Canis lupus familiaris: one gene and its partner. The main gene of each other region encodes a partner of the protein of the gene in region 2 in a complex. Links are inferred from orthologs where the notes say so. Each region holds a gene or a part of one and is shown on either strand. Other genes may lie near its edges.

Region 1 (5,949 bases), on a different chromosome or scaffold from region 2:
GCAATCTATCCTGATTTTAGAGGCCTCCAAAAAGACCAAACATCTTTCTACAAATTATAAAATTTCTATCATAAGTCCTTTCATCTAAGGGTGTAAAGCAAGTCTGTTTTACTTGTTTCTGTATTCCTGTCCCTAACAGAGTGCTAGAGGCGTGTGCATGAATGCACTCATTCATTCAATCATTTACTCACTTATTCAGCAAGTATTTACTGAAAACTAACTCCAGGCCAGATATGCGTTAGTGAGGTAAGGCACATGACAAACCAGAGGGCCTTACCTAGGGAGCTTATAGTCTAGTGAGGGAGAGACATTTATCAAACAAGTAAAAAAACAATTAAGTTCCTGTTGTGATGATGCTACAAAAAAGTTACAAAGCATGGTGAAGATATACTGGGAACTTACTATAGTAAGTTCTAGTTTCAGGAAGGAGGGGTCAAAGAAGGTCAGGAAAAGTTCCCCTGAGGAATGACATTTAAATGAGATCTGCAAATGAACTAGGAGTTGGTCAGATTTGGGAAGGGGAGAGGGTGCAGTCCCCAGGGAGATGGAACACAAAGAAAGGTTCCCAAATCAGGAAGGAACTTGCTATATAGTAACTGAAAGGTGCAGTAAATAAGAAAGGCTGGGGATAGGATGGAAAGCTGAAAAGGAGGCAAAGGATAAACTGCGAGCATTAAAAAGTAAGAAGGTAAGAGAATTTGAATATTTAAGTCATTTTAAGTCCTTTTCTCGTGTGAAATAAGTAATTTTAGGAACTGGGTCTTCATTCTATAACAGTAAGATCTACAGTCACAAGACCTGGATTATGCCTTAATCCCACCAGTCACTAGTTACATGACCTTACGTTTAACCAATCTGAACTACATACACTGTAAACAGGTACTCAATTATTTTAGCTACTGGGAATGCAGTAATACAGAGTCCTGTTCTCATGAACTTCTACCCTTAAAGACAGATGCACATGGGAAACATCCTAAGGCCTGTAAGAGATCCAAAAGCTGACACAAGGCTCCTGCAAAACCAAAACTGAGAACAAATGTGGATACTGGTGAACTACAAACTACTATAAAAATACAATTATACACATAACTCTGGGAACCCTAAATTCTTCAATGTGCTGAGATCTAAAGTGACCACAGGGTACCAGCCTGTGACTGAAAGATGATAAATACAATAAAAACCTTACTCCATCATTAAATATAGATGAATTATCCAAACTAGGATGGACCTCAGAGATGAAGAGTAATGATAGAACTGAACCCAGAACAAAAAAACTAGCATTAAATTAATTTTACTGGAGGATCCCTGGATGGCTCAGCGGTTTAACACCTGCCTATGGCTTAGGGTGTGATCCTGGAGACCCCGGATCGAGTCCCAAGTCGGGCTCCCTGCATGGAGCCTGCTTCTCCCTCTGCTTGTGTCTCTGCCTCTCTCTCTCTCTCTGTGTCTCTCATGAATAAATAAATAAAATCTTCTTTAAAAAAATAAATTAATTTTACTTATTTCCAAATTTTCCTGTAGTTCAAAAGCTCATTCCACAACCTCATAGCTGCATGCCAAAAGTTAGAGAACTCATTTCACACTTCCCTCAACAAAAAGGAAACACCTCCTGTGCTGTCTAGAAAACATGTTAACATTTTTGCTTTACCATCACTCACTCATGTTCAGTTTGAAGTCCATGTAAACTACCATTTCCGTCTATAACATAGCATGGAACCAGTTATCCCCACTGGTTCATTTGGTTAGTTGGTCTTCCTTCCTTGTGTACTGCATTACTCATGGTGCTACATTACTCTTATTCTTCCTACTTCTTTCTATAGGATCATATTCTACTTTTAAGGTCATACTAATTTCCAGACCATCTTAACTTCAGTCAAAGGGGAGCAATATGCAATATTACGATCCTAGAAAGTGTTTTTGCATTCAAAAGTCATACACTGTAGAACCTACGTTTGCAGAGTACATTCAAAAAGCAGCATATTTCAGTGGTCAACTTACATGACACTAAACCACGATTAACTACTAGCTATCAGTAGATACTGAATTACTGTATGTAAACAACACAAAGGAAATCCTCATGTCAAAAAACACACACCTAAGATTCTATGAAAGATAATATTCATAAGCTATGAATGGTCACACTAACAATTATAAAGGAGAAAACTGTGTTACAAGCATACTGCTCTCTGCTCAATAGAAAATATAAATGTGAGGCAGCCCAGGTGGCTCAGCGGTTTAGCGCCTGCCTTCAGCTCAGGGCGCGATGCTGGGGACCAGGGATCGAGTCCCACGTCCGACTGCCTGCATGGAGCCTGCTTCTCCCTCTGCCTGTGTCTCTGCCCCTCTCTCTCCTCTGTGTCTCTCATGAATAAATAAATAAAATCTTAAAAAAAATGTTTAAAAATAAAATGTAAATGTCCAATTTTTCCCATTCTTTAAATAGGATGAATTAAAAGTCATGGACTAAGCTAAGAAAAACTCACCAACACACTGGAGTCCAGAAAATGAGGGGGACAAGGAAACAGGAGTCAACAACAACAACAAAAAATGTGATGCTACTTCCAAGAAATGCAACGTACCCTCTTTTCTAGTAAAGGAGCACAGTCACCTCTCCTGATGCTTTGTGACTTGAACACAACGTAAAAAAAATAATAAAAAATAAGTCTTGTGAAAGAATTCCCACACTACCGCTGCCGGCTCTACTCAAGTGAGAGTAGCAACAGTCAGCCCTAAGGTAGGGAGGGAAAGCGGTGTATCTCTTAAATATGAGGATGGGATGTATTTTGACATTCTCCTAGGTCATTCTCTACCGTTTGAAATGTAGTCCATCGCTTAATACATCCGTAAGTCAGCTGCAACTCAGTCTTCTTTTTCAAAAAAAAAAAAAAAAAAAAAAAGTGTGTGTCCTTCCTTCATGGAGGAATTTCTCCAACTCAGAAAACACACACACACACACACACAAACTCTTCATCTCACAAAGGGCTCCTAAGAAAACCATAAAATGCGTTACTCTGCAATCTCCCCCTACTCACTTCAAAAAAACAAAACAAAACAAAACAAAAAAACACCCAACCTCCCTGCTCTTTCTGGTGAGTGGGCACCTCTGAGTCAGAAACTGGATTATATAGGGCAGCCCGGGTGGCTCAGCGGTTTGGCGCGGCCTTGAGCCCGGGGTGGGAACCTGGAGACCCGGGTTCGAGTCCCACGTCGGGCTCCCTGCGTGGAGCCTGCTTCTCCCTCTGCCTGTGTCTCTGCCTCTCTCTTTCTCTGTGTGTCTCTCTCATGCGTAAATAAATAAAAATCTTAAAAAAAAAAAAAGAAAAGAAAAAAGAAAGAAACTGGATTATGAGCGGCTTGGACTCAGACCTGTCCCCAGGTGTGTGACCTTGGGCATGTCGCCTGTCCCCTCGGCTTCTGGTCGGCGCCTGAGAACAGAGTCTCTGAAAGCACAAGGGGTGTAAAGGTACCTTGGGAACTGCCCCCCCCGGGGGTCAGAGGCAAGACCTGCCTCCGGAGAGGGGCCACGTCAGGGAACTGGACCTGAACCCGCAGAGCCCCGTCAGCCGACGGCGCACTCTTCCTCCCCAGAGGGCACAGCCGGGGTCACCCCGAGAGCCACTCCCCAGCGCCCCTCCCCGCCCCTCCTCCCCCAGCCGACCTGCAAGCGCAGGGCAGCAGCAGCAGCCACCTCTCCGCGCCCCAGGCCACACCTTCGGAGGACCCCACCCCAGGCACATCCGCCCGCTCCCTCCTCCCGGGGCACCCGAGGCCACGCTCGCCTCCCCCTCCCGCCCCCACCTGGAGGAGACTTCCTGGAGGCGTCCGGGCCCGAACCGGGCAGGCGGCGTCTACGAACCCGCTTTCCGCCGCTCGCGCCGGGGACCCTCGCTGACGCCCAGAGGGCCCCGCTCCCCGCCGCGTCCGCGCCGCCCGCCACAGCCCAGCCGACGGCCCCCGCGCGACCCCCGCGCGACCCCCGCCCTCTTCCGCGCCGCTCGGGGCTCCGCACCCCGGGACGGGGCGGCCACACCTTACCGGCAACTGAGGCACTGACTTCACTTCCCACCTTCGGAGCCCTCTTCAACTCCCGGATCAATTCACTCCGGCGACGCCGGAAGGACCCGAGAGGAACCAGGCGTTGTCCGGAATCCTGCCCGGCCGGAGTCGCGCAGGGGCCTTTCGGGACTTGTAGTCCCGCCAGCCGCCGTCGGCGGCCATTCCGACACGGGCCGGACTACGACTCCCGGCAGGCCGTGCGGTGGAGCCCAAGGCGATGGGTGGGGACAGCTCTAGCCAATAGCAGGAGAGTTCCCTGCCTTTGCGGGAGGAGGTGAGACGCGGAGAGAGGGTGTCGGAGAGGAGGAGGAAGGGCGGGGTCAGCCCTCACCTGCACCAATCAGGGTGCTGGGTCGGCCCTGCGGGCGGCTCACCCATTGTGGGGGCGGGCTGGCAGGGCCCAGGAAGGAAGGGGGTGCGGGGGGGAGGTCCTGAGGAGGGTAACGTGGGGCGGCTGAGCCGCGGACGCTGCACCGAGCGGGGAATCGCCGGGGTGGAGGGAGGGGAGGGGGGATGCGTCCAGGCCCGAGCAGCGGCTTCCCCGATCGCGGACGAGCCCCGGGCACGCCAGGCGGCGTCGGGAAGGGATCGGGTGAGCCTGGGCTTCTCGAGGAGGCGCCCGGGGCGGGGCAGGGCAGGAAGCAGCTGCAGGTGTGAGCCCGGCGCGGGGCGGGGGGGCCCGGGGAAGGGAAGCGGCCGAACAGCTGCAGAAGCGCAGGGAGCGGGGAGGCTCGGGCGCAGCCGCTTCCCGCCGCCGCCAGCCGGGGCGGCCGCAGGAGCAGCAGGGGGAGGAGCGACAGCCGCCGAATTCGCCAACTGGAGGAGCGGGAGGCGGAGCTTGGGTCCCTGTAGCAGCCCGAGGCGCAGGCTGGACTCTAGTTTCCCGGGAGAGCCCAGAGCAGGAGCTCGGGCGGAGCGGAGCGCGGTCCCGCGAGCATCGGCTCCAGCATCCCGCCAGGGGTTGCAGGTGTGTGGGAGGTAAGCGTGGGCGCCCCCTCCGCGCGGCCCGCGGCGCCCGGGAGACAGCGACTTCCAGGGGAATCCTCCGGGCGCAGCTAGGGTCTCCGACTCGGGGTAGGGACCCGGTGCGAACCCTCTTAGATGAAATCGGATGTGCATTTTGGACTTTGTAAGGGGGGGGGGGGGAAGCAAAAGGTGGCTTGATTCTGGGTATAAAGGGCGTGGTTAGTGGTCTTTGGTGTGAGTTATAGCATTAAAACTGTTCTGGGAGATGTTAAGATTGAGCGAAACCCTGCTAATTGAGGATGAGGTGGATGATATCTGGGTAGGTGCGCAGCTGGCAAAAAGAAAAAAAAAAAAGATTTTGTCATTGATACGGAATTACTTCAAAACTCTTGCACTAGGAAAATAACTTTGCATTTCTTCTTCAGTGTTTACCCTGTGCGTTGCTTTATCAGGTTGTCCTGCGACCGACCTGTTTTCCAGGGCGGTTTACCGCAGGTTCCCAAAATTGAAAGGGATTTGTATTAAGGAAGCAAATGCAGGCAGGAATAATCGAGATGACCAAACCTATCAGAAGTATAACTTTGCCCGCAATACCGTAAAACCGCTTTGATGGATGGATACTTAGCTTTCCTAACAGCGGCTCTAGGATGTTGGAACAAAGACTAGGACTCAGCCTACAGTGGGAACATATGGTGTACTTCATTGCCGCTCCTTATCCTCTCTTTTGGGGCTGGTAATTGTACATTTGGGGGAAAAAAAAAAAAAACTAAAGTACAGGAAAAAACTGTGTGAGGATCTTTCCTGTTTAGGGAGTGTGTGCTAAATGATTACCCCCAGTATGTGTTGTGACGGGTTTAGGCGTAAAACACATGTAATAGTATCATAAAATAGTAGTTTATTCTTAGTGTTAAACCATGTGCAATTTCT
Region 2 (5,433 bases):
ACTGAAAAGATAGGAACATTCAAAAATCAGTTCAGCAGGGCCAGCATCTGTGAGGAGTTTCAGAGAGAACAGGCAAAATGGTCTTGAAAAGATTATTAAATTAGCAATAAAAGAAAATTTTCTGAAATACATTTACAGAATGTTAATTTCCAAGGATGTTTCTAGATTAAAAGAATTCTTTATTCATTATAAAAATTCATTCATTATAAAATTATTTTTAAAAATCCATACAAAGGCCATCATCATGAGTGCTAAAAAGAAGCATCTCAAAAGAAACAGCCTGTTAGCATGAAAAAAGGGTAAAGTCTCAGACCTTTAATAATCCATGGTGGCTTTAATTTTCATTTTTTTAAAGACTAATGATGTTGAGCATCAGTTTATACCATCCACATATCTTTTGATACAGTGTATGAATAATGTTGCCATTTTTTATTTTTTTGTTAATTGTTAGCCCTTTAAGTGTTCTTTATATGTTCTGAATACAGGTTATCTTCATCAAATATGTGACTTGCAAATATTCTCTCCCAATTCATAGGCTTTTCTTTAAATTCTGTTAACAGTGTCTTTCAAAGAACAAAGTCTTTAATTTTGGGATGTCTGAATCATTGTCTTTTAGGGATTGTATTCTATTTGTTTTTTAAAGCCATCCATGTGTATTGCTGTGATTAAATACAAATTTTAAAACCTAAAACATGAGTTTCACTTTAGAGAGAGACATTTCTAGCCAAGGGACAGCACTACTTTATTTGTGGAAGTTCAGAACAGAATTATCATGTCTTATATGTACTATTTTCTATTTTTCTGTCATTAGTGTACCAATTTTGTCAATTATCTTTGTCTATTTATTCATTCATTCATTCATGAGAGACTCAGAGAGGGGGGGCGGGCAGAGACAGAGGCAGAGGGAGAAGCAGGCTCCATGCAGGGAGCCTGACGTAGAACTCGATCCCAGGACTCCAGGATCATGCCCTGGGCTGAAGGCAGGCGTTAAACTGCTGAGCCATCCGGGCTGCCCAGTCTTTTAATCCCCAGATGTTATTACATATTATAAATGTTGAGCTGGAAAATGTGCATTGTGTTGTTGTGGTAATTTGTATTTGGGAAAATCATCTCTTTGTACATTCCATTTTGATGCAGGTCCTTAAACAATGAGCTGGATTAGGCAGAGTATAGTAGACCTATTAAAATCCTATGCTATGTTAAAAAATAGTCTGAATTGGGGTGCCTGGGTGGCTTAGTTAAGCATCTGACTTTTTTTGTTTGTTTTTTTTAGTAAGATTTTATTTTATTTGAGAGAGAAAGCAAGAGCACGTATGCACGGGGGGAGGGGGGGGGGGAACGGGAGAATCCCAAACAGATTCCACACTAATGTGGAGTCTGACTCAGGGCTCGATCTCACCACCCTGAGATCATGACCCAAGCTGATACCAGAGTCAGACACTGACTCTGGGTGAAATGAGCCACCCAGGAGCCTACGTATTCTGTTGATTTCTGCTCAGGTCATGATCTCAGGGTCCTGAAATTGAGTCTTGTATTGGGGTGGGTTCCTCACTGGACATGGAGCCTGCTTAAGATTCTCTCTTTCCCTCTCCCTCTGCCCCTCCCTCCCCTCGCTTAAAAAAAAAAAAAGTCTGAATTTGAATTGTATTGTGTCCTTAGAAACAATCAGGGAGGTGAGAAAGCTCCAAATTTTAGATTGTTATTCTTTTTGGTACCAAAAGATCTAGTTCAACCCAAACAGTTTATAGGTAAAGAAATTGAGGATAAAAGGTCTAAGTGACTTGGCCAAATTCCATCATCTAGTTAATGGAAGAGCAGAGAGACTTATTGTGAGAGTCTGTGTTGGGCTGAAATTGCCACTGTTCTCTTGTTTTTTAAGATTTTATTTTTTTATTCATGAGAGACACAGAGAGAGAGAGAGAGGCAGAGACACAGGCAGAGGGAGAAGCAGGCTCCATGCAGGGAGCCCAATGTGGGACTAGATCCCGGGACTCCAGGATCATGCCCTGGGCCGAAGGCAGGCGCTAAACTGCTGAGCTACCCAAGGATCCCCTGTTCTCTTTTGTCACTAGACATTTAAACAGCTATTTCAAAACCTCTTATTTGTATATAGTGGGAACGTAGATTATAGTTTAAAAAGTGACTTCATAGGTAGATAAAAATAGATAACTTTATTACCTATTAAATGAATGGTTTTGAGAGACTTGGAAGTATTTTTTTAGTATATTAAGAATCCTGTGAGAAAATCTGTGAAGTTTATTGGAATATTTATATCTGATTTACCCCACCACTTTAAATCTGGGCAGATTTTAGTCTTCAGACATTTGGGCCAAGCTGTAAGAGATTGTAGAACTATAAGAAATGCTAAGCTTTTGTTTCTTGCTTATGATAGCTTCATTTTGAGATGTAATACCATATTTGAATGTCTGTTATAAGATTTTGACACAGTAATTACTCGAAGTATTTTGGTCAGTAATATTGGAGAAACTTAATGGAACAATCACTTTTACTTTATTCAGAAAACATAAATATTCTTCATAATATTCTTTTCTTGGATAAAATACTTAGGTAATGCATTATAAATAGATTGTCATTGGAATCTCTATACTACTTTCAAGTATTGTTTTAAAATATGAACCGGAAAGAAATGTTAGAATTAACTATTAGAATATTTGGATTCATCTTTTTCCCTTTTGACAGGCCCTCTGGTGATGTTCTGGAGACATTCAATTTTTTAGAAAATGCTGATGACAGTGATGAAGAAGAGGAAAATGACATGATTGAAGGCATCCCAGAAGGAAAAGATAAACATCGGTTGAATAAACACAAAGTAGGAACTCAAGTTTTAATTTTTATTAGCTAAAACAAATATACACATGTATTTGGAATAGAAATTTTCAAGATATCTTAAGTTACATTGAGAGTGATTATTTTTTATCATCTCACTTGAAAGTTTTATGTATTATCAGTTATTATTATCCACATATAGTAGAAATTATTATTTGCTGTATCATTCACTAAAGAGCAAAAAGGGGTTTTTATAGAACTAGTCTGGTGATTTGAAACTTAAAAAAAAAAACAAAAAAAACAGAACCCCTTCTCCACTCCTGCTACAATTAAGAATTACTGCTGAAGTCTGTCTCTTCATGTTCAGTAAACAGGTAATAAAGTGAAGCTGCAATGGGGATACTCCCACTCTGGGTGAGGGAGTAAACTGTGGATTGTAAATGTATGTGTCCACATTCTTGGTAAGGATTAATAAAAATGTACTTCTGTTCATAACCTAAGAAACTGGATTATCTATTTTATCAGTGATGTAGGTTAGTTATAAAAGTATACACAGATTAGATGATCCATTTATGAATTATCATGGTAGTGTATAGTATTTCAAGTATTTTAAAAAGTGTGTAGTATTTTAAGTATTTTAAAAAGAGTGCATAGGTTAAGTTTTTGTTCCTTGGGATGTTATAATAATGTTCTTGTTCGTCAAGAAAAGTTTCTAGGCTATAAAACAGTTTTCAGTGTTCTGTCACATTTCATGTGTGTAGCATGGGTGAATGGAGATTTTGATCCATCTCTCTCTCTTTTTTTTTTTTCCCCCTGGGAGGCAAAGCACTGTTATTATCACAGCTACTAACTTAAGATCAGTTAAAATCCTTATTAGCTATGCCATATCCTTGTGAATTATTAACTGCATATGCAGTTCTCAGTGAGTGAAGTCAGTTTAACACAATGTACCAGAATGTGAGTGAAAAGGCCTATAAATAGGGGTAATTGTGAATCTATGATAATTAAAGAACTTAATTTTTTATTAGTATAGTATCTTAACCATTTTTTACTACCACATTACTTGCATCACATCTTACAGTAATCTTCACATGACACTGTTAAGAACCATTTATATAGAGTGTAATTTGGGATTGGTGAAATAAGTAGAAAAATCTAAAATTTTGTATATGTAAGTAATGTAAAAATGGGAGTGCAAATATAAAGATAATTGTCTGAAAACATATAAAGGATCCCTTTAAAATCTAGGATAAAAGTAATTCTTGGCTTATGTTCCATTTACAGATAGGTAATGAAGGTTTAGCTGCTGACCTAACAGATGATCCTGATACTGAGGAAGCACTGAAAGAATTTGATTTTTTAGTGACTGCTGAGGATGGTGAAGGAGCTGGAGAAGCACGGAGTTCAGGAGATGGCACAGAATGGGGTAAGGTGATAAAGAAATGTGGGGGTGGGAGAATAGCTTTTAAAAATGCATTGCTATTAAGTATTATATGTGGAATGTGAGTATTTGAATGTGTGGTGGCAGTTAAACAAGAGCAAGGGGAAGTGGTGTTAATAATTTCAGGGTATTTTGCAACAATTTATTTAGATTTGTGACAAAACTATTGTTTGATGTATGTCTTTTGGTGGATTTTGACTTCTGAAATTTATTTTGATTTAAAGTTGAAAGAAATCCAATTTCTTTCTTCTTACATTTAAAAAAAGTGTGTAGTTTTAAACATTCCCATCATTTAATTTGATAATAAATCTAGGTTTAAAGATTTAACTCTTCCATTATGCCCGTATGATGTTGCCTGACTTATTGCTAGAAAGTAATAGAGCTCCTAATCCTAAATTAGAGCTTTACATTGAACAATGTTTAGTGAGGGTATTAAGCTTTATTCATATAATATTTAGGATGTATATGTCAGGGCCTAGCCTTTAGAAATGACGCATAATGCTAATAATAATCCACCCATAACTAAAATAAAACAGTTGTATTTATACAGTGTTAAAAACCATTTAAAAAATAAAAGTATAATAATTATATTATGATAGTAGCTGAGGTCCACTCTGTTGTTCAGTTAGCTTTTAATACCAGCACGTTATCTGGCAGGTAGAACTCACACTATATTACAGAGCTTTATTGGAGAAGGTTAATAAATTGTACCTTAATGCATCTTTCAAAGAAACACCAAAGTTGCTTAGTTACTCACAAAAGGAATTATCATTAGCTTCTTAAAAACTACTTTGGTGATGAGGATCATATGTTATTTAAAAATGCCTCATTCGTGTATTGAAACTGAATTTGCTAATAGAAAGAGAAACAAAACCTAATAGGTGATAAAATTATTTATTATCCTGATAACAATTCAAGTACTTAAAAATCTGAATTTTGTTACCAGCTTTCTTATTGATTATAATTCTTAAGCATTGTTTCAGACTTTTACTTAATCTCTTCTAAGTGGAAAGAGAAGAGGCACATTCATGGAAAATAGGAAAAAGCTTCAGAATTGCTTTCTAGACTTGGAATATACCTTTTTGTACTTACTATTTGAAAATGGCTATATTCTAGTTTACTTTTCTTAAGAATTAGCCTTGCTCAGGAGACACTTTAATAAAAATATCAAAGTTTTCTTTAAGCTTCTTTATGCAACTCATTCA

What was found. The genes of interacting proteins can lie anywhere in the genome.
Region 1: STRN3 (region 2) and PDCD10 share a complex: the UniProt entries of both Homo sapiens proteins name them as parts of the core of STRIPAK complex. The link is inferred for Canis lupus familiaris from reciprocal best matches to the Homo sapiens genes STRN3 and PDCD10.

The regions. Positions count from the first base shown.
Region 1 is NC_049255.1:32,805,626-32,811,574, forward strand, and holds the start of PDCD10 (programmed cell death protein 10), read right to left. Parts: upstream 4,194-5,949; 5' UTR 4,036-4,193; intron 1-4,035. Other genes in the region: SERPINI1 (neuroserpin), read left to right, coding at 4,570-4,648. UniProt on the Homo sapiens protein: Promotes cell proliferation. Modulates apoptotic pathways. Increases mitogen-activated protein kinase activity and STK26 activity. Important for cell migration, and for normal structure and assembly of the Golgi complex.
Region 2 is NC_049229.1:10,405,620-10,411,052, reverse strand, and holds part of STRN3 (striatin-3), read left to right. Parts: intron 1-2,700; coding exon 2,701-2,830; intron 2,831-4,071; coding exon 4,072-4,213; intron 4,214-5,433. UniProt on the Homo sapiens protein: Calmodulin-binding scaffolding protein which is the center of the striatin-interacting phosphatase and kinase (STRIPAK) complexes.